Linked DNA regions of Lonchura striata. The protein of the gene in region 1 binds, or shares a complex with, the protein of each later gene. Links are inferred from orthologs where the notes say so. Each region holds a gene or a part of one and is shown in the gene's direction. Other genes may lie near its edges.

The links.
Region 2: the proteins of DNM1L (region 1) and MIEF2 are in contact, whole or in part, in a cryo-EM structure (PDB 5WP9), measured with the Homo sapiens proteins. The link is inferred for Lonchura striata from reciprocal best matches to the Homo sapiens genes DNM1L and MIEF2. Residues at the interface, in NP_036192.2 of Homo sapiens: Asp190, Met191, Ala192, Thr193, Ser194, Leu197, Lys198, Ile199, Arg201, Glu202, Gly223, Thr224, Asp225, Asp228, Arg233, Val234; in NP_631901.2 of Homo sapiens: Val213, Asp214, Thr215, Val216, Arg218, Arg226, Leu230, Arg235, Val245, Gly246, Tyr248.

The regions. Positions count from the first base shown.
Region 1 is NC_134607.1:17,417,464-17,429,059, reverse strand, and holds the start of DNM1L (dynamin-1-like protein), read left to right. Parts: upstream 1-5,762; 5' UTR 5,763-5,882; coding exon 5,883-5,984; intron 5,985-11,596. UniProt on the Homo sapiens protein: Functions in mitochondrial and peroxisomal division.
Region 2 is NC_134618.1:15,737,937-15,749,463, forward strand, and holds the start of MIEF2 (mitochondrial dynamics protein MID49), read left to right. Parts: upstream 1-7,153; 5' UTR 7,154-7,248; exon of another isoform or gene 7,249-7,258; intron 7,259-7,701; 5' UTR 7,702-7,708; coding exon 7,709-7,876; intron 7,877-8,319; coding exon 8,320-8,497; intron 8,498-9,472; coding exon 9,473-10,518; 3' UTR 10,519-11,527. Other genes in the region: FLII (protein flightless-1 homolog), read right to left, coding at 177-368, 572-676, 757-928, 994-1,077, 1,291-1,365, 1,445-1,527, 1,600-1,779, 1,861-2,073 and 12 more. UniProt on the Homo sapiens protein: Mitochondrial outer membrane protein involved in the regulation of mitochondrial organization.

The DNA.
Region 1 (11,596 bases):
ATACTATTTTACCTTAAAAAGACTACAGGAGATTATCTTCTTTACTAGATCCAGAAGTAGAAGATACAAGCTCAGTTCCTCTGAACACCAGCAAGTTTTGGTTGAGGTAAGGTTTGGTTGGGATATTTTCTTTTCTGTTTTTGTTGCTTCACTTGAATGCTATGTGTGCATTTTGTTTAGCAATTAAAGTTACTTACTGGATAGTAGATAGGAGGTTATTGCCTTTATTCCCAAAACCTCGGTCTTTTAACATAAAGAGTCTTTACCTGAAAATTGAACTGCAAACCATTGGGGTGCTGAAAATATTTTACTGAAGCAATTGTTTCAGTATTGTGTTTGTAATTTCAAGTGACCACCCCAGTTGCAGCAAGGAGAGAGCACTGCTGTACAGGAATCCACAAGGATACAGAGATTACTTTCATCTCCAGCCTAAGTTTTTATCTCTATTGGCCCCATGGGAAAAGCTAATGTCTTCCAAATACCAAAGTTCTTGAGCTTTGTTACTGATTTATGAGGTTCAAATGTTGTGCTTTCCTTGTGGCTCTTGACCTCTGTTCTCCTCTCCCTCAACTTGAAACCTGCTTTAAGTTTCACGAGCAAGTTTTACCAGAAGTTGTCTTATACCCCAAATACCAGAGGAATTTAATAAATAATTTACCAGTATTCAGATTAAGAAAATAAAAGGAACTCTCTGTTTTTTAGTTCATAATGTCCAGCAAAGTTGCATCCCTGCCCCAGGATAACTTTGTTTTGTCAGACGCTGGGTGTCAGCACAGGTAACATGTTCCCCACACTCAGGAATTCCTATCAGCACTATGGTTTCTTACATCCAGCTGAAGCACATAAGAGAGCTTGCTTTGCCAAGTCAACAGAATTCCTTAAATATGGATTTCTCACTCTGACTTCTGTTGCTTCTGGAAAAGAAAAAAAAGAACAAGATTTAGAATCTCTCAGCCTGGGAAATCTGTGTAGAGTAGCCAAACGAAATGTCATTCTGTCAAGGGATTTCAGGAATTTATTTATCTCATCTTCCAATGGTGCCTGGTGTAAGAAACTGTTACAGTTACATCTGTGACAAGGTTGCTCTGGAGAATACAGAAACACCATTCAATTTGACTTCACATAAAATCTGATCTCTGCCAGACCCATATAATTTCTGCACTGCATGGTTCCAAAACGTGATATTAGTAAGGAATAATTTATATAAATATTTTGCTAATAGTGTTTTTGCAGCATAAAGCAGTATGAATGTATGAGGCACAACTGCTACATTACATACTTGATATATTTCAGTAATAATTCTCTAGACAAAAGAGGATGTCAGGAAAAATGCTTTGCTGAGGTGCTCATTTGTGGTTTCATTGTCTGGCATTAATGGGCTAAATGGCAAGTGACTTGTCATTACTGTCAGTGTGCCAATAAAAAAGACTCAGCTGTCTAAGAAAAATGGAAGCAAATGATGATGCAAAACTAAAAAGGAATTCATATCATGGAGAAAAAAGTCTGGAAATGTTCTCCTGATGTCAAACATAAAACCAAGGAGGCTTATATGGAAATTGGAAGATGACAAATACAAAACTCATATCAAATTGAATTTTTTCATTATATATAACTAGATAATGAAATTTACCACCAGAGGTTGTCATTGGAGCCAAGAATTTAGTGTGATGAGACAAACTCCTACTATATATTAAATAAAGCAACCTAGTTTGCAGAAACATGGAAGAAATATTGAACTGTCTACTTCAGATCTTGCAGCACTATCAGAATAATTTAACATACAGTTTTTGAATGATCTTATTACTGCATTTTTATATTTTCCCCAGAAGGCTGATGCTGGAAGGTCTTAGATGAGGTCCTGAAGTAGATGGATATCAGGTCACATTTGGTGTGGCACTTCCTATGTCCTCATGCCTATTAACTTCAATAACCAGTCTGACTACTATGTTCTTTATCAGATCTTTGAGTTTCTTGCTCAGTACAATGTAAGTCAGCCATGGAAATTTAGAGTTAAAGCTACAGACAATCATTGAGTGTTAAAATATTTATTGCTTTGTCACAGTCCTCAGCAAGGCTGAGGTAACTGTTGGTGCAGGCCATGAAACTTCATAGCAGAGGTATTTCTGGCTCTCAATTTTTAGCCAGAAATTTAAAATATGTTAAATGTATCATCATTCTGATGCTTCTTAGCTTTTTATCTTCTTTAGTATTTCCATCTTGCATTTCTTCCTTAATTCACTTCCTCCATCTCCACTGTGTTTCTCCATTGGTGCATACAGCCCTTGACAGACCTTTCAACATCTCTGCTGGGCAAGCTGGCTTGTCTCAGATTGGTTCAGCAGCTGGTATTTCTTCTGTGTTCTCCTTGAAATATTACACTGATAAAATTCTAAGAATAGCCATAGTGGGGCAGGCTAGCGGGCGAGGACATGCAGTGCTTCTGCATGCTGCTCTTGCAGCTCCTAAACATTGCCAGCTCAGAAACAGCCCCAGCTAGATTTGATCCCTACAGGTCTGTTTTTATATATGCAATGCATTTCTCCTTCTTAAACTAATCCATGAAACATCTGAACTAATTTAAAATTTTACTGTATACAGCGTCCTTTGGTAAGGAGCTCAAAAGGTCACCAAAGCTCCTGCAAGGGGTTACTGTCTTTGTCTTGTTCTGAGCTGGCTCTTATGTTCATTATATATTCCCAAAATGTCTCTATTGGAAGGGAGAGTGAAGAAACCTGATCCTCTTTCACCCACTCCAGGTTGCTAATGAATACACAGACCTTTGGTCCTTGCTACCCTGTGCCATATCTTTGTAGAGTGATCATTCTTGGCTTTCTTAGTTGGTTTTGATAGAGAAGCTGTTCCACACCTTTCATCATCCTTATTGTCCCTCTCTGACCCTCTTCCAGTTTTACATTCTTGCTGAGATGTCCCACTTCTGGTCTAAATTAAGACAGAAACCAGGTTTCACTTTGTCCATTTCACAGGGATGTCCATGAAATCATACGACAAAATAAAAGTGGTAGGAGAAAAGAGATTTGCATTTGCATAGAGAAATAAGCTGGTGTTAACCATTTCATTGGGAGCCAGCAGCTTCTTGTCCTGTGCAACTGGGATATTCCTTCCCCTTCCCCTTCCCCTTCCCCTTCCCCTTCCCCTTCCCCTTCCCCTTCCCCTTCCCTTTGCTTTGTCTTGCCTTGCCTTGCCTCGCCTTGTCTCACCTCAAGGAAGGAGATCAGCCTTAACAGGGAATAGCAAGCCTTTTAAAAAGATTATTTGTCATGTCAGGGAAACACTTCCTTTTGTCCTGGAAGCTGGAGAGATGGATGCCAAATGACTTTTTTGGTGTTAATGATCTCTGGGAGCCATCGGCTGCAGGCTGAGAGCTAATGAGTGAAATCACTGGATAATGTTTGTATGACAGGAAGCCTTCACCAGTCATTCAGAACCTTCTTCCCAAAATTTTACATGCATTAACTGCTTCTCTCTGTGCTGAATACACTGAATTTTGGAGTGTTTCAATTTGCTTAGCCATCTTTATGCTTTTATCACAAAATATTATCCCTCTGAGAGTGTGAAATTGCTTGGCCAAGAATGAGAAACTTTGCTGAAAAGATATACAAATAAGAACACATATCCATGTTCTTTCAGTTGACATTTGAGTGTTTCAAGATGTGAAGACTGGAAAAGACTAATTTGTATAGAACAAGAATAAGAATTCTAATGCCATCCAAAACTTGAAATTTTCAGAAGCCTTTTTACTCTGTTGCTTACAAGAAAGAACAAAGTCCATATTAACATAGTGCCAGCATATTCGTAATTTATCTTCCAGAAAATGCACTCAAAGGAAAGACATTTGAAGATGAGACAGCTTATTTGTTGTGATCTCACATCACAAGTCTGGTTTCATTCTATCTTTTTATAACACAGCTGATTATTAGATCTCACACAGTTCCCCCCTTGTGGCAGTCACGTTCTTCTCTCTTTCAGGATTTTTTATAGAGGACTACAGAGGAAAGAAAGAGAAAACAATTTCTATTTCTGTTCCTTGTTTTTCTCATGTAGAATGTGTTTGGATAATTGTTTACCTGGGGTGATTGCTTGATTGGATTCTGGTGAGGATTGTTTGAGCCTGATGGCTAATCCAATCCACCTGTGTCTGAAGTCTCAAGAGAGAGGGTCACAAGTTGTTAGTGAGTTAGATATGATAGTTAGAAAAAGTAGATATGTAATTTTAGTATCTCCTTTAAATAGTATATTAATATATTATAGTATAGTTATAATAAAGAAATCATTCAACCTTCTGAATTGGAGTCAGACATCATAATTTCTTTCCACCGGTTTCACCTACATTACAATACCCACTTCCTAAGATACCTCAACCTAACCTGTAATTACACATCTAAGTTGGAGAATTTCAGATGATTATCCAAGAGCCTCACAGCAAAACAACAAACATATACAAGAAAGCAAACAGAATAAATATAGCTGTACCACATGTGTCCATTGCAATTCTCACTATATGAACAGAAATGGAAGAATATTCCTTTCACTGGGCACTTTGGAGGAACAGATCTCCAGTTCTGTTCTTCCCCAGAAACTACCTCCATTATGCCTCTTCCCTGCCCCAGCAGCTTAATTTTCCTGCTCTTCTGGCAGGAAAAGCTCTAAATTACTGGCTCTTTGCAAATATTAAGTTCAATACTATATATGTTATGTTGGAACGCATAACATGTAACGCATAACACATTTTGTAGTACTACATTAATCCTTTTTAAGTCATGTGGTAGATACAGTTTTAGGTTATAACATAATGTTATAATGGAAAGTATGCAATGTAAGATATTTTTTTAACTAGTTCAAGAAAGGGATGAAATAATCAAGAAATTCTTTGCACAGAGATAAGGGCAACAAGACACCTAAGAGTTACTGCCTCCTTATTGGGAAAGACAAACCTCCTTCCACCTTCTCTCCATCTTTAAGGAGACACCAGGATTAAGGGGAAGGAGTTGATGATAACCAGAGAACACACTTTGTTTAAAAAGAATTTATGCATCATGTATGAGATATATGAATATGCAACAGGCTGCTGCTTTTAAGGGTTAATCCTTTGTCAGCGAGACACGCTTTCAAGAGGAAAGCATCTGAACGTTCATAATTCTTTGCTTTTTATTACCTTTTATTGTCCTAACTCTGTCTAAATTCTTATTACTCTATTTTTAGAATCATTTTATTACTATTAAGCTTGTAAAATTTTAAAACGAGCGATTGTCGTTTTTCAGACTGGAGGAGGCTCAGGGGCGACCTCGTCGCTCTCTACAGCTGTTTCCTGGGGACTCTTCTCCCTGGTGTCAGTGACAGGACAAGAGCACATTGTCTTAAACTGTGCCGGGGGAGGTTCAAGTTGGACATTAGGAAGAATTTCTTCACATAAAGAGTGGAATGGGCTGCCCAGGGAGGTGCTGGAGTCACCATCTCTGGAGGTGTGTAAGGAAGGACTGGAAGCAGCACTCAATTGACATGCGGCTGTTCGATCACAGGCTGGACCCAAGTATCCCAGAGGCCTTTTCCAGCCCGGCCGAGTCCGTGTTTCTGTGTGACAAAACCCGGCAATGACGCCTCAGACAACACCCCTCGAACGCCGGCGGCCGCGGCGCCGTCCGAGCGGGGCGCGGCGCGGCCAAGCCGCACGGCCTACAACTCCCATGGTGCCCGGCGGCGGCGGCGGCGCGCGCGGCGGGCGCGCGGGGGCTGCCGGGGCCGGGCCGTGCGCGGGGGCCGGCGCCGATGGCGGCAGGCGCAGGGGGCGGCTGAGGGAGCCGCCGGTGCCCGTCGCGTCCATCGACCGCCGACGTCCCGCCCGGCCCGTCCCTTCGCCCGCCGCTATGGAGGCGCTGATCCCCGTCATCAACAAGCTGCAGGACGTGTTCAACACGGTGGGGGCCGACATCATCCAGCTGCCGCAGATCGTGGTGGTGGGCACGCAGGTGAGGCGGGCCGCGCCGGGCCGGGGCCGCGGGCGGGCACCGCCCCGAGGGCAAGGTCGGGCTGCCCATCGCGCTTCCGCCGCCGCCAAGGGCACGGGGGAGCACGACGGGGGAGCGCGACGGGGGAGCGCGACGGGGGAGCGCGACGGGGGAGCGCGACGGGGGAGCGCGACGGGGGAGCGCGACGGGGGAGCGCGACGGGGGAGCGCGACGGGGGAGCGCGACGGGGGAGCGCGACGGGGGAGCGCGACGGGGGAGCGCGACGGGGGAGCGCGACGGGGGAGCGCGACGGGGGAGCGCGACGGGGGAGCGCGACGGGGGAGCGCGACGGGGGAGCGCGACGGGGGAGCGCGACGGGGGAGCGCGACGGGCGAGGCGGGCGGGGCGCTCTCGGTGCCCGCGTTCCCCCGCACGCCCTCGGCCGCTCCGCCGCCTCGGCCCCGGCTGCGCCGGGAGCGCCTCTGCGCCGCCCGCCCTCGGGCGCTTCTCGGGCCCGGCAGCTCCGCGGGGCCGCGGCAGCGGGTGCCCCGTATCCCCGGGGGGCGCGGCGGTGCTGTCACCGTGATCGCCGTCGCTACTCGGCCCTGACTTCCCTTCCTCGACAGCGGCCGTGCAGCGAGGGCCGGGCCGGACGGAGGGGATGTGGTAGCGGGACGGCATCTTGCGGGCGTGGATGGGTGTCCTTTCCCCGAGTTCTTGTGCCGTTTGGACTCTTTGTCTTAGCTGGCGATGGGGAGTGAAGGTGAGAGGCGAGGCCAGCGACTGTTGGCTGCAACAGTTGCAACACGTGCTTGTGAGCCTGGTAGTGCTCCTGGGCTCGAAGATAGCTCAGATCCTCTCCTATCTCTTCAAATGGGATCCTGCTCTTCAGCAGAACTTTTGGCAGCTGAACGTGCCTGACCAGAGCTGCAGCAGTCGCAAGGGAGTAGAAGATGAAGCTAATGGAGCGCTCGTTTTGTTTCTGTGATATTTAAATATGTATTGAATGTGCTGTGCTCCTTGACAGTAGCATGCTCACCGAAGACTTCAGTACCAAGTACTGTGTACTCAGGATTTTAATTGATAACTAAAAACACCAGCTGTACGTGTAAATGCAATGGCATTTTTCTATGTAAGATTAAAAAAGTACTTTTTCCAGTTTCACTTTATGAAGTGGCATTTTTTAAAAATACTTTTAAACAACTCTGTCCTAGTTATCTTTTCCTAGGTGTAAATACTTTCCATAAGTAAATACTGACAGTTAAAACAGTATTGACATGTGTTTGCCTTCAGTAGTCTCCCCATCAATATCAATATCTATTCGGGGCTCCCCATCTATATCAATATCATGTATCCATTATATTTATGAACCCCCAGAAATTAGCATGAAATTTCCTATCATCCCAAAACAAAGTCCTCTGTGGACTCCAGAAAAATATATACCAAAATATCTAGCAAGCTGTATCTTGGGGTTTTTTTTGTTTTAGTCAGGGTTGTTGGAAGAAAAAATTGTCTTTACTGACATAATAATTCTGTAGATACTTATTTTATGCAATTAGTTTTAGTTTAAATAAAATATTATTAATCTATTTATTTGGAGTCAGTTTATTGGAGACCAGATTTTTAGAGATGTGTCACATATGGGCTTAGAGCTGATAGTTCTGCTGCTGGTAGCTTTCTTCCTTTTATTTAACATGTGCCATTTAGACAGTAATGTTTCTTTGTGAACTGCTGTGTGGCCTTTAAGTTTGTTCACACACTTGATGTATCTGTAGCCCACTGGCATATGCTGTCTTTGAATAATGTTCACAATAAACAGTCTTGAATTTTTCACCTCCATTTTTCTTGTAGGAAGCAAATGCTGCCAGTTAAGGTTTCTGTAATCCTCTGTTAATTAAGTTATGCTTTTTTGCATCCATTTGCCACTTGCTTTTTTTAAATGACCTTTTTACATATTCAGCAAGGAGAGGAAAAGTGCTTTTTTAAGTAGTTTTCTGTTTATCTTTCTCTCTCTTCTCTACCCTTTTGTTCTTTTGTGCTTAGGTCTTTCTCTGCTTCTCATTCTGTGCATTAAGTTATTTCTTTCTTTTCTAGGTTGTTTAGAAGCTGTTTATAAGCCTTAACTCTGCTGTGAATATTTTCTGTTTTCCATGTTCCCTTCCCCCCACCTCTGTTGTTTGGTATTCATTTCCTACCTCCCTTGTGCCCTGAGCAATTGAAATGCTTTAATTTTTCCTCTTTCTAGATACATTTTGGTGCTAATTGCAAATTGTTTCTCAGTAAATTTTGCACATCTAGATGGCCTCTTGCACTTGTAGTGGTTTTCCTGCCATTCAGTCATATGAGAATTCCTTCTCATTCTCCCCATTAATATTGTGTAAGTTATTTCTGTATCCTAGCATAGAGTCATTTAAGAAGACTGGGAACTCTGCTGTAGTCAGAGGACACCTTCAAACTGCCCATTTTTCTTCACTGTTTCAGGGTTTTTCTGCCATTTCCAGATAGGTGTTCTATTTTTTCCCCAAGTCAGTATTCCAGTTCCATTTTTAGAACTGTATGACTAAAGTGCAAAAAGAAAAAAGTGTCCAGGTTAGCAATATGATATAAAAATATTAGTTCAGTAATGTTGTAATACTCAGTATTCTGATTTATACAAGTGCTTTGTACTCTGTATTTTAAGGGGTAATATTGTGGTATTGAAGTGCCTCAACTAAACACATTAAAACTACAGTAAAGAAGACAAGGGGAAGAAAAGTAATTAACGATGGCCTTTTGTGTGGATAGGTGGTATCACAAAAATTAAATGCCTACACTACCAAAGTGGTCATAAGATTTAGAATAAATTTAAGAAAACCAGCCAGACAACAAAATATCTGCCTAGAAGTCGGTAAAAATGAATTGTCTTTATTTATTTTTTGTGCCCTTAATTTTTTGAATATGTTTTTGATTTTTAGTAGTCGTCAGCCTAGTTTTATACGAACTTTAGTGTCAGCTTTGTAACAAAAATCTAATACTAACATAAAATCACTTTGTGGGCTTTATTTGCACTTGTTAGTGTTAACTGAAGTGGAGACATTGTAGCAAAATTGATGTAGCAACTGATGGAATTGACAGGTCAGATTTTGGAGTGACCTTTCCTGTGCACATTTATGGAGTTCTTCTGCTCAGTCTTCTGCCAATGCCATTTTGAGTCTTTAAATGGGGAGGTGTAGTTCTGCTAAATGTTGCCCTGGGATTGACTCACAGACGAGTGTGACTTTTATTCCTTTTTTTTTTTCTGTTTTGTGTATGTTTGATGCTGATGCTAAACCACTTGTTATTGCAAGGTGGAAGGTTTCTTGATCTGAGGTCACAGCCTGAGCATGTGGATATGTATATATGTATCCACAGCCTGGATATGTGGATATTTATGTTCTGGTAAGATAAATAGTTGGAAGAATGCTGATTTGGCTGTTAAGGAGTTGACAGCAACGGGAAGGTAATGGACAGTCCTGGCTAGTGGGATAAGGAAATGAATTCGGCAGATGCTATCAAAGCATCCTGAGAGAGGCTGGCACCTTGGTCTGGAACTTCAGGTGCTCTGCAGAGCTTCTGTGACTTTCCCTGGCAGGGGAACAGAAATTCAAGCCACTTAGCTCATTCAGTGTAGCCTACATTGTGTTGGCAAAAAGCCAGTTGAGGTGAAGGAAACTCTGGTTTGTACTAAGCAACAAGGAAAAACCCATGCCAGGCACAGCCATGTCTTCCTCCTGCCTCTCTTGCTGAGTTGTTAGTTTGATTTTTGTGGTGTTTTGTTTATTTGTTTTGATTTTTTTTGTTGTTGTTTTGTCCGAGGATCTTTGTGGCAATTGAAGCAGATGCAAAAACCCATTAGTATCTACATTTGAATAGAGGATGTAACCAGAGCATTGCTTCCATGCTGGCTGGGGACAGTTTGCTTTTTCTCCCAGATGTTTTGCAAACTTCCTGATTTAATTTGTTTTTTTTTTTTAAATTTGCTTTCATATCTGACATTTACAGTCTCTGGTTTTGGGTGTAACAGTTTTCCTTTTTTTGCCATTCTTTGCTCCTGTCAAGTCATGCCCTGACTGTTCTGTTTGTTTCAGACAAGCAGCAAAGTGAGGTTGACATGTCTGGTAAATGTAAACAGCTAATTAATATAAATGTTGCTGTTAATATGATATAGTGCAAACAGCACTTATTGTTGTGCTGTTTCTTTGCTCTGATGGGCCCCCTGTTTCTGAACAGCTGAACTTTTTGGGTCTTGAAAGTTTCTGTGACTGAAAGGATGGCATTTTCACTTTTTCTATCTGTAGACCTTATATGAATTAAAATAGAATGATAGGTCTAATAATTTGATCCTGCATTTTAGCATTTTATGATTCTTAATATGAAAACATTATTAAACACGATTTAGAAGATACTAATTTTATTGTTTGCAAATGCCTGGTTATCTTGGAAGAGCAGAGAGTCTGCACAGAATTCACAGTTGTAGAATGATGTGGATAAAGAAGTCTTGTGCTTCTCTTTTCTGGTTTTGTTTTGATGCTTTACTGCAAGGACCTTGTTCTGTTCATCTTGTAATTGGCAGTTGTTTTTCTTGGAAAACTGGTATTTTAATTAGACCAGGTGAATCTTGTATGTTGTCCAGGAGGCACAGTGCAAAGAAAACATATTTTCAGGAAGATGGAGGGGAAGAGTATTAAAACATACAGTGCAGGCATTTGTTTTTCACAATCTGGAGGAAAAAATGCCTGTGTAGTTTTTGGAAAAGATTTGTTTGTGTAGTAGCCAGAAAGTTGACTAACTTAGAGATTTAGGGTTTGGGTTTGTTTTAATAATACTGTTGTTTAGAACTTTTAAAATTTGAATATGCAAGTTGGTTTTGATTTACTTTACTGCAAGTCATTAATATAGCAGTATACACAGTACTATGTGAGGTCAGTATATCTGGCTTGCAAATGGGAATCTTCAAATACCACAGTTCCATGATGTAACTGAGAGTCTGTAACTTGTTTCTACTTAGATGAGGCATTATTTTCCTAAGTGAATTATTGGAGGGCTTTGGGAATTGATGTACTGAGGAAGAAAACATCTGCTAATCACTGTTGTATTCGCTGTTGTTTGGCACTCGTCTGCAGTTAGATATGCTGTAAATGCAGGATTTCTGAAGAATTTTGACTGAGCTGTGCCAGTTCTGGCATTCCTTATTGCTTGTACATAAGCTGTATTATGTGGAGGTAGTTCCTGTGACTTTTGTCTCTCACTGACTTATTCAGTAGAGCTCTCAATTCAAGTAAATGGGGAATGCCCTGCAGGAACAACAGTCTTGTAGTCTGGACAAGATCTTGCATGTAATTCGCAACAATGAGCAGTGCATTATGCTGGTTTTACTGCTTTCTCAAGTTGGGATCAGCCTGTTGTCTCTTCTGCATCTTTTAGAAGTGTTATTTTGTTTCAAACAATGTGTTAAAATAATTCATTTGGCCTGCTTATAGCTTTAACATTCTTTTTTGATTAGTAAATAAATTTTTAAATTTGTTAGCTCTTTAGAGCCTAGCTTGGGGCATTCCTAGTTTAAATATGAAAATTTTGTTATAATATCTGTTCCAACCAAAGCAGTTCCTTTGTAG
Region 2 (11,527 bases), on another chromosome or scaffold:
AAAGACCTCCAAGATCATCGAGTCCAACCTGTGACCGATCCCCACCTCATCAACCAGACCAGAGCACCAGGTGCCACGTCCAGTCGTTCAAGGTGTAAATTGGGGAGCAGGTAACAGACCCTCAGCCTCAGTCCCCTCCCAGGCACCCAGCACCCATCTGAGGGGTCCATGCCCACCTGGCACTCGGTGCCCTCCAGGTTCCTGGTGACCATGGCGTGCTTGGGCCGGTGCAGCATGGTGCACAGCTCCTGGCTCAGCTTCAGCGCCGCCGCCCGCACCAGCCGCGACGACTTCCTCCCGATCCAGATGAAGACGTCGGACCAGCAGTCCAGGATGTACACGCTCTTGGTGTCCAGCAGGCTCTGCAGCTGGGGGCACCACAGGAAGAGGGGTCAGGCACCTGCAGGCCTTCCCAGCTGGAAAACACCCTGCCTGCTCCCGACAGGGCAGAGCATCCCCCAGCCAGGCTCTGCTGCCTGAACCTCCCTCTCCCAGGGCACAGCTGGAGGCAAAAGGGGCATGAAACCAGTCTCACTGGTCAGACTGGGAGAACCTCCCCACCCCATCCTACCAGGCGCATCTCCGGCATCAGATCAGCCTTCAGCCTCTTCTTGTGCTCCACAGAGAGCTTGTAGTTGACCTGGGGAAGCTCCAGGTAGCCCAGACCGAGGCCGACCTGCAGAGGGGAGGGGGACAGAGGTGAGTGGGGGCTGCAGGACCTCAGCAGGTGGTGGCCCTGTGGATGCAGCTCCCCACCTTGTACAGTTTGGGTTTGTGGGGCTGGAAGTCATCGGGGACACAGGGTCGGATCTCCTCGGGCTGGCCCCCCAGCACCTCCCAGAACTCGGGGGTCTCCTGGCCCTGGGTGAGCAGCGTGATCTCGGCCTTGCCCTTCCGCTCGTTCTTGTTGATCTTCTCAGCGAAGAGCCTGCGGTGGGAGCACATGAGATGGCAGCTGAGCTCCCCACACCCCGGCACCCCCACCAGCCCTACCTGGCCTTGGTGGTGCTGCTCAGCGTGGCCTGGCTCCCACGCCACACCAGGAGGTTGAGGCCATGGTCCAGGAGGAAAACAAACCTGGAGGAGAGAGGTGAGAGGGGTCAGGAGAGAATGGGGAGTGCTGGGCATCCTCCCCATCCTGGGGATCCCTGCAGGGCACCAATGTTTGAACCCATGTTCTTGTAGAAAGGTGCTGGCATAGCCCATTTGCACCACAGAACTGCAGCTATAGTGTCTCAGGTGGATCCTGCTGAACTTTCTGTAAGGTCCCTCTGTCCCCTGGCCACTCACCGGGGGTCCAGTGATGTCCCTTTCAGTGCCACCGGCTCCAGCTTGACATTCTTCTTCCCATAGACACGGTAGAGCCTGGGGAAGGGACAGCCGTGGTGGGACATGGGGCACTGCCTGCTCCAATCATCGCCCCAGCCCCTGTCCCCAGCTGTACCTGGTGACGTACTGCGTGTCCTCTACGGTGAAGAAACCACTGGCTGTGCCACCCTCGATGTAGGAGATGTCATTGTCGAAGACCTGGGGGCATGGAGGGGTGAGGCTGGGACAGGAGGGGTCGGGGGTTACAGGGGAGCTGGGACTTGGCCTCACCTGAAGGAACTCTTCGCTTTCATCCCCCATCTCCTCCCGGATGCTGCGGCACTCAGCCCCCAGGTAGTTGCGGAGGTTGACGGCGTGGATGGCGGAACAGGCCTTCTTGTCCAGTGTGGCCTCCTGCCCGATCCAGTAGTAGATCTCCCAGTTCAGGGAACCGTTCTCATCCAGGAAGGTCTGGGAAGGACAAGGGTGTGAGATGGGATGGCTGCAGCTCCTGGCAGGGGATGCAGGGGACCTTTGGTCCTCCCGGGTTACCTTGAGCACGATGTAGCAGTCGGCTTCGTAGAACTTGCCGTGGAAAGCCTCGTCCACCAGCGTGGGCACGAAGTTCTCGATCTGCCAGACACAGAGGCCGGGCAGCTGCCCCACGTCCTCGCTGAAGAACTCCGAGTAGTCCAGCTGTGGCTTCTCCAGGCCCTGGTCCCAGCGCCGTGTCTTCAGATCCGGCGCCTTCGCCTCCCCACTCTCCTGTGGGACAGGAACAGGTCAGATTAGGGACAACCAGAACCCAGCTGGCAGCCAAGGTAGGCCAGGGACACTGTGATGCCCTCAGGGCCCTTCTCCCACCCCAGACCCTACCTCTATCTTCTTATTCTTCTCCTGGGCCACATCCGACATCCCCTTCAGCACCTGCTTGGCCTGGTCATCCTGGGCAGAGTCCTTGCGCCGCCGGAGCCGCATCTTGCGGGCCAGCGGGTCCTTGGTGCCACTCCCTGGGGACACAGGGACGGGGTGAGAGGCGGCCACGCCGCCCGTGGGGCACCCCACGGAGCAGGGCTCACCCCCCAGCCTCTGCCAGGTCCGTGCCAGGGCAGGGAGGGACCGCGTGCCCCCCTCCCTGCACGCGTACCCGCGGCGGCAGCGGCGACGGTGGCGGGGGAGGCTCCGGCCAGGCGGAGCTGGTTCTGCAGGGAGAAGTCGATGTTGTACCACTCCGAGGAGCGATCCGCCGGCTTCGGGGGCATCACCAGGTTGGGGTTCTCGCGCACGTCCAGGATCTGCCAGGGAGGGCACAGAGACCTCGGTGAAGTTCGTGCTCACAGGGATATTTGGAATGTGGCATGGGATGGAGACCTGAGGGGATGTGGAGGGAATCCATGGCCTGCCTGGGCTGACATGTGGCAGATTGCAGGTACTGGCCCTGAGCTTCCCTGCCCTCACCTCATCCAGCCCACCCTACAGCCCTGGGGTCCCAGGGAGGTGCTGGGGCTGTGGTGGAGCCAGCCCAAGGCAGAGAAGCACTGGGTGCCCACCTCCACATCTGTCAGGAAGTGGATGGCCTCTGGCAGCGTCACCAGGCGGTTCTTGTTCAGCACCAACTTCCTCAGCTTGGAGCACCTGTGGGACGGCGATGCTGGTGACAGGCCAGCCCAGGGTGACCTGTGACCACAGAACCTCTGTGCTCCCTCCTGGGGACACAGCAGATCCAGTGGTGTGTTCCTTACCTGCACAGGCTCTCAGGGATGAGCTCCAGGTTGTTGTTGGCTGCCATGAACTCCTCAAGGTTGGTGAGCTTGCCAATGCCCGAGGGGATCCCATCAAAGTCCAGCTTGTTGGAGTTCAGGTACATCTTCTTCAGCTTGGTCAGCTTACAGATGGCTGACTGGGGAAGGGGGAGATGGTGGGGTGAGGGAGAACCATGGAACCACGAGCAGGGATGGCACAAAAGGGCAGGTACATACAGGTAAGGAGGTGAGCTGGTTGCGGGACAGGTTGAGGGTCTCCAGCTGGGTCCACTGGTCGATGCAGAGGGACAGTTCCGTGATCTGGTTGCTGCTGAGGTTGAGGCGCCGCAGGCTGCCCAGGGTGTAGAGACACTCAGGGACACGGCTGAGGTCATTGCAGGACAGGTCCACATCTGGGGACAGAAACAACGGGGTGACACCACCAGCCAGACCAACACTGGGGTTGGGAGAGCCCCTGGAGGGCTCTGTGGGGCTGGATGCCCCAGCCCTACCTGCCAGGTTCACCAGGGCCTCGAGGCTGGTGGGCAGGTTGCTCTGCGTGCGCTGGGTGTTGCGGAGGTGGAGGGTCTGCAGGGCCGTCATGGCCGGGAGCTGCCTGAGGACCAGGGAGAGCCACAGGGCAGAGGGAGTGTCAGGATGGAGCAGGGAGCTCAGTGCCAGCCCTGCCAGGCTGGGAGGCAGCCCGGGGAGCGGGGCCGTACCGCAGCTGCGCATGCAGGAGGGGGTTGTTGTTGAGGATGAGGGTCTGCAGGTGCACCAGGCGCCTCATCTGTGGTGGGAGACTCTCCAGCTTGTTGTCGCTCAGGTCCAGGTAGAGCAGGTCCGTCAGGTTGATGAAGAGCTGGTTGGGGATGGTGTCGATGCTGCAGGGATGTGGGGAAATTCAGGAGTGCCTAGGATCTGCACCAGCCCCGGATCTCCCTCGAGGAGGGGCAGAGAACAGGACCCAGAGCAAAATGTGGCCATGGCCAGGATGGGGAGATGGTTATTCTAGCCTGAACCCACCTGTTGTGGCCAAGGTTAAGGACCAGCATGTTCTTGGCATTCTCCAGCTCCCTGGGACACTCTGTGAGCTGGTTGTAGCTCAGGTCCTGGGAAAGGGGGAGCACAAAGCAGTTGTCACCCAGCCACCACCACCCACACCTCCAGGGAGCTGGACCAGCACACAGGGAACCCAGGGAGCCCTTCCATGGCATCAGCCTTTAAAGGAGACATTGCCAGAGGGTCACCCTGCCGACAGCCAGCTTCCCTGGAGCTCAGCCATGGGCTTGCGACTGCTGCTCCCAAGGAACACAAGGAGCCACCACGGTGCAGCAAAGGGACCCAGGAGTCTGAGCTGGCTCCTGTATAAGCTGAGAAGAATCTGCACCCACCAGCACCGAGAGGTCATCCAGCTGGAAAATGTCATCAGGGACTCCCGAGTTCTTCAGGCTGTTTGCACGAGCCACAATTGCCTGCAGAGGGGAGAGAGGCAGGAATGCAGCTGCCTGCGGAGCCCCCAGGGTGCCCAGGTATGATCTTGGTGTGCCCTCAGATCCCAGAGGTGCCTGGGGACCCCTGAGGCAGGAGGGGGACACTCACCCGGAGGCAGGGCAGGCCGGAGAGCTCTCCATGGAGCGTGGTGAGGCTGTTGTGGCTCACGGAGAGGTGTTCCTGCAGGGAAGTCCCAGACAAGCCCCAGTGAGCAGAGAGAGGAGCTGGGGCTGTGCAGGGCAAAGGCTGTGCCCCAACATTGATGTGGAGGCTCCTCCATCCCAGGAGAGTTGGGGACTTGTCACCCACAGAGCTGCTGGGACACTCCCAGTCTCAAACTGGTTGGTTGGCCCAGTGTGCCTGCGCTGCCTCCACATCCCTCATCCCCTGCACACCTCAGCCCTGCCGTGGGGTTTGGGGTGCTCTGGGATGCCCACACAAACAGATCCCAGTCCTTGGGAACGGGCAGACGTGGGCACTGCTGGGGTGGGAGGAATTCCCCTGGGGAAATGTTTTCCTCTGAGCATCACCAGCCCGGCTGTTGCCTGCTCAGGAACACACGGCATTGGCAGGCTGTGGGTGGGATGCCAGGATTTCAGTCTTGCTGTGGCCCCCGAGCACCTGGCAGGGCTGGCAGGAGTGGCACTGAGGGATTCCCTGGCAGCGATTAAAGCACTCAGTTTGTGTGACACGGACAGGATGAGGTCCCTGATGTGCTGTGGACACCACCAAAGCCAAGCTGAGCCTTGACTCCAGCAAGGGCCTGGGTGAACCACCCGAAAAACAAAGCCAGACAGCTGCCAGCTCCTGCTTTTTACATACTTTAGCAAAGAAGAAGGAAAAAAAGCCCCCAAACCCTTGATTGTCCCCACTGTAACCATCACCCTTCCCTTCTACTACAGGGTAGAGGATCTAAGCGTGGTTTTTAATCTGGTTTTCTAGGAAAACAAGGTGAAACTGAGAGCAAGCCCACTCCAAACCCACTCCTGACAGCTCCTGCATCCCATTTCAACCACACATTGCAGCTCAGTGCTATTATTAGACACTGGAGCACCCGCTGCTGAGCCACGAGGCTGGCAGGGAACAGGCTCCCGTGGGATCCTACGGTCCCAGCGGGATAGGGGAGCCCCATTCCATCCCAGAACACGGGGCTCACCAGCTTCTGGAGGGCAGCGAGCTCCTCGGGCAGGTAACAGAGCCCCGTGCGGTTCAGCTTCAGCCAGCGCAGGCTGGTCATCGCCTTCACATGCTCCGGGAAGTACCCGCCCTGCGAGGAGGAGGAGGAGGAAGAGGGTGAGGAAACACCTGTCCCACGGGATGAGGATCTGGGGACCTCAGTCTGATTGAGGCTCTGTGGTCATGGGAGGTCTGGGATCGTGCAGTCCTATGGGCTGGAAAGTGTGGGGTCACGATGACCCAGTCCTAAGGGACTGGGAGCTGTGGGGTTGGGATGAAGCAGTCCCATAAAATTGGGAATTAGAGGGCTGGGATCACCCCGTCCTAGGGGCCTGGGAGCTGGGGGCCATGGAAACCCAGTCCTACGGGACTGGGAGCTGGGATCGCCCGGTCCTATGGGAGCGGGAGCTGGGATCGCCCAGTTCTACGGAACCGGGAGCTGGGATCGCCCAGTCCTACGGGAGCGGGAGCTGGGATCGCCCAGTCCTATGGGATTGGGACGGATCACCCAGTCCTACAGGATCGGGAGCTGGGATCGCCCAGTCCTATGGGACTGGGACGGATCGCCCAGTCCGATGGGATCGGGAGCTGAGATCGCCCAGTTCTACGGGACCGGGAGCTGGGATCGCCCAGTTCTACGGGACCGGGAGCTGAGATCGCCCAGTTCTACGGGACCGGGAGCTGGGATCGCCCGGTCCTACGGGATCGGGAGCTGGGATCGCTCAGTTCTACGGGATCGGGAGCTGGGATCGCTCAGTTCTACGGGATCGGGAGCTGGGATCGCTCAGTTCTACGGGACCGGGAGCTGGGATCGCCCGGTCCTATGGGACCGGGAGCTGGAGGCTCGGGGATCTCCGATCTCCCTGGGACCCCCTGGGCTGAGGGCCGGGTTGCTCAACCCCAGCGGTTCGATGTGGGTCAGGGATCGCCCCCGCAGCGCCCACAGCGCCGGGACCGGGACTGCCCCAGGTCACCCACCCCGGGCGGGGCCGGGGCCGGGCTTCCCCTGCCCCGGGGGCCGAGCCAGGCCTGACAACCCCGCGGGGCCCGGGCCCGCTGGGGCGCTGCGGGCCGGGCTGTGCCCCGCTCCCGCCGCCCCGCACCTTGAAGTCGTTGCCGCTGAGATCGACGCCGCGGACGAAGGGCAGGACGCCGGTGGCCGCCATGGCGGAAGCGCGGGGGGCGGCGCGCGGTGCCGCGCCCCGCCAGGCCCCGCCCGCGCCCGCCCCGGCCGTGACGCGCGCGGCGCCTGGCGCCACTTCCGCGCGCTGTGGGCGGGGCCGCGCCGCCGCGCGCTCCCATTGGCCGGGGCCGCGGCGGGAGCGCGCGCGGAGCGCGGCGCGGGGGCGCGCGCGGGCAGCGCCGGGCCCGGCCCGGCCCGGTCCGGTCCCGGTTCTGGTTCTGGTGCCGGTGCCGGTCCCGGTGCTGGTTCTGGTTCTGGTGCCGCCTCCCCTCCGTCAGTAGGGTCGGGGGGGGGCTCCCTTCCCGCGGGCCGCGGTATCGCCCCGGTGCCCCGCGAGGCTTTGCGGTAGGGCTGGGTGAGGAGCGGGTGTCCCTTCCTTCCCCGGGATGTTTCCTTCCCCGGGGTGTCCCTCCCTTCCCCGCGGTGTCCCTTCCCTTCGGTGTCCGTCCTTTCCTTCCCCGGGGGTGTCCCTTCCTTCCCTGGGTGTCCCTTCCCTTCGGTGTCCCTTCTTCCCTGCGGTGTCCCTCCCTCCTTGCGGTGTCCCTTCCCTGGGGTGTCCGTCCCTTTTTTCCCGGGGGTGTCCCTTCCCCGGGTGTCCCTCCCCGGGGTGTCCCTTCCCCCGGTGACCCTTGCTCCCTCGCCGCACCCAGCCGTCCCGCCGCCGCCGGCGGGAGCCTTTATCCCGGAGGAGAGCGGGCCGGCGGAACCCTTTGTTCCCCAAACCATCCCACCCTGCGGCTGTGCCTGTCCCGGGGTGACAGGTCCCCCAGCCCGGGGTGACTCTCCTGTTCTCCGCAGGGCGACCATGGCGGCGTTTTGGCAGCAGCGGGGCCGGCGGCAGGAGAGCGGCGGGCTGGGCGCTGTCCTCGACGGGCTGGGCAGCGTGTTCGATGTGCTGCTGGCCAACGCCAGGCTGGTGCTGGGCGTCAGCGGCGCGGCCGTGCTGGCCATCGCCACGCTGGCTGTCAAGAGGGTAAGGCTGGGTCTGGGAATAGAGCACCAGGAGATGCTCAGGAGGGCTGGGTTGGTTCCAGTGTGGTGGGGCAAGATGTGTCCCAAATTCTTTATGTTCTCTCCTGAGCTGGTTCCTTGCACGTGGCACAAATGCCACGGGTGCTGGAAGCAGTGCCGTGGACATGGAGCTGCCTGCTTCCATCCTGTGGGACCATGTATGCATGTTCTGTTTGCCTGGAGCATTTTGCATACAGTATCCCATCCCAAAAGGCACCTGGGACCTAAATTGTATTTGGGAATCTGTTTTCCATGTAAAACCTGCAGGAAGATGATGTGCACACTCATGGCCCCCAAAACTGGGTGTTTTTCTGAGCAGAAGCCTTGAGTGGGGCTGTCGCCTCACCTGTAATTCATGGAAAACAAAGATAACATCTTGTCCTCTTGGCTTTTCCTTCCCTCCAGCTGATCGACCGAGCCACCAGCCCTCGGGATGAGGGCGACCCCAAAGCTGAGCAGAAATCCCTGGAGGAGAGCTGGCAGGACTTGGCATTGATCAAGACAACACCAAAACCCCCCAAGAAGCAGAGAAGGGAAGATCTCAGTGAGCCTCTGCTCTCTCCAGCTCGGCCTCTGGTGCCAGGTGAGGTTCCTGGTGCCCAGGAGGATCACCTTGGTGTGCTCCGGGAGCTCCACGTTATTTTTAGCTCGCTGTCGGAAAGCCGAGCCCACTGAGCCTGCCCTGCTGGGAGGCTCCCAAGCCACGGCCCCTTTTTAGGCAATGCCAGCGGAAACAGGACCTCTGGTGACATCCGGAGTGGCCTGGCAGAGGGTGTTGGGGTTTGTTTCCTCTGGAGCAGCGTTGGCTGTGCTAGTTTTCTGGGTCAGCTGTGCCTGCAGGAAGGTGTGCTCAGGAGCTGCTGCAAACAAAGGCTGCCTTGTCCAGCTGCCCATGGAGATGGAGCTTTTCCAAGTGGGAAACTGGCCCAGTTCAGTCCAGGGCATGTCCTGAGATAATGGACCCAGAGCAGGATTGTCTGTAGGATCCTCATGCGAGGGGCAGGCACTGATCTCTCTGGTGACCACTGACAGGACATGAGGGAACAGCAGCAGCTGTGTCAGGGAGGGTTTAGGTTGGATATTAGGAAAAAGATTCTTCCCCCAGAGGGTGCTGGGCACTGCCCAGGCTCCCCAGGGAATGGTTGTGCCCCCAAGGCTGCCAGAGCTGCAGGAGCATTTGGACACTGCTCTCAGGCACAGGGTGGGATTGTTGGGGTGTCTGTGCAGGGCCAGGAGTTGGACTGGATGATTTTCGTGGGTCCTTTCCAACTCAGTGTATTCTGTGGTTCTCTGACCCTGGCAGCAAGTCCCTTGCCTGGTTCCCATCTCTGGCTGAGGAGTGAGGCTGGGAACAGCCAGATTTGGGGTTGGTTTGGGCTCTGCATGGCTGAGAAGTGCTGTTAACATCAGTGAGCTCAATGGGGGCCCTTGCTGAGGTCGGTGTCACCTCCAGAGGGGTGGGCTGAGAGCTGGGCACCCAACTCATGCCTTCCCCTCTGCTGCTGAGGCTTTCAGATGATGTGCTCAGAGCTGTGACTTCTCCTTTCCCTTCCCACAGATCCCAGGGGCTTCTCTGCCTCTCTGGGGGCTCCTCAGGTCAAGCCCAGCCCCCTGCGCTGTCTCACGCTGCAGGAGAAGCTCCTCTCACACAGCAGCCAGCTGGCCGTGCCCGAGATCCAAGTGTCCCTCGTCCCACAGCTGGCCAGGAGCATCTGCACCCAGCTGCAGAACTTCCTGAGGAGCAAGTGCCCGGAGCTGCCCTTTGGCCGCCTCTTCCTCAGCGGAGCCCTGCTCGATGGCCTCGAGGTCCTGGCAGCTGACCACATCCACCTCATGCTCCCGGTGGTCCTCGACGCCGGGCTCTGGAGCCTCATCTCGGGAGAGGACACCGTGGTGAGGAGCCCCCAGTACTGGATGATCAAGAGGATCGATCTGGGCTACTTCCCTCGTGGGTGCAGCCCCTGGGACAGGTTCATGGTGGGCCGGTACCTCTCGTCCAGCGTGATCAACGAGACCCTCCACAAGCTGCTGGTGGCCTCCATCAACTGGCCTGCCATCGGTGGCCTGCTGGGCTGTGCCATCCACCCTGTGGTGGCCTCCCGGGAGCTGAAGCTGGAAGTCAAACATGATCAGGTTGATCTGAGCATCACCCTCTTCCCAGTGGTGGAAATGGAGGACAAGGTTCTTCTGGCTGTTCCTCCTGAAGGACTGGTGGAAAACCTCTGGCTGGAGAGTTTTTACAGGGCGGAGGTCTCGAGGGTGAAGGAGCTGGACGCTGGTGACGCCGGGGCTCGGCAGCTCTGCCTGCGCATCCTCAACAGCATCTGCAAGAGCCAGCCCAGCCTGCACAAACTGGGGGGCAGCCCCATGGCCCATGTCATCCTGCACCTCAGTGACACTGCTGTGGACTGGGCAGAGGAGAGCCTTGCTGACAGGTTCCAGCAGCTGCTTGAGGAGCTGGTGGCTTCCCTGGAGAAAGGAGTCCTGCCTTGCTATTTCAACCCCAAAATCAACCTGTTCTCCAGGCTGTTGGAAGAGGAAATTGATGAGATGGGCTTTGTGCTCTACAGGGCCATATCTGAGCCAGAGGTCCTGCTGAAGTGACCGGTGTGTTGGGAGCTCCTGAACGTGGGGGGGTTGCTCCCTGCCTGCTGCTCCCCGCTGTGAGGGCTGTGATGCTTCTAGTTGACTAGTCAGTAAGAGGCAAAGTTCTTGCACTTTATGAGGAAAAAACCGGTTTCCTGTGTGAATAAAGCGTGCCTGAGCAGAGGTGGGTGCTGGCAGAAGGAGCCTTGGGCTCAGAGGCTCTGCTGAACCCGGGCTGAGGGCAGCCCACGCCACACGTGTGAGTTCTGTCTGCTGGGAGCCCAGTGAAGCATGTTTGGTCTCTGGCTCCCAGTGTCTTCTGCCTATCCCAGCTGTCAGGTTGCCCCTCAGGCTCTGAGAGTAGCTGGAGAGGAGCAGCCCCTTCCTGCTGCTGTGTCCTGCAGAGCCCTCAGGTGCCACGTCCTGGGCTGGTCCTGTCACCAGCACCCTGCGTGGCCTCGCTGTGCCAGCACTTGGGGCAGGGGGAGCCTCACCCACCCGCAGGATTTTGCCAATCCCAAATAAACCCTGTGGATGAGCTGGGTGCTGGGTGGTACAGCCATAGCAAATGGGGGATGGGGGTTATTCCTTGGAAACCCTTCCAGAAGGGGCAAGCTCAGCCCTACCTCTTTGTTCTGACAGTGTTGATGCTGCCCCGAAGAAGGGGCCCTTGTCCCATGCAGTGTTTTCCTGGAAGATGTCCTGAAAAGGAGCTGCTGGCTCTGGGGAAGCTCCTGGTTTTTCAGCTGGAGGCTGCAGCAGGGCTGTTTCCCCTCCCCAGTGGGTGGGTGGCTGCCAGTGTCTGTCTGCAGGTACCTGTCCCCTCCCAGTCTGTCTGGTCACCTTTTCACACTTGTATTGCTGCTGTCTTGAGGTCCTTTTGCCCTGCAGCCCCACGGAATGGGGTGGGGAAGCAGGGTAGGAATGATGTTGTGAGCAGAGTGCTTGCAAGAACTGAAGCGGTTTATGCTTTTTATTAAGAAGATATATTTTGTTTGGGTATTTTGTTGTTTTCTTTTCCTTTGAG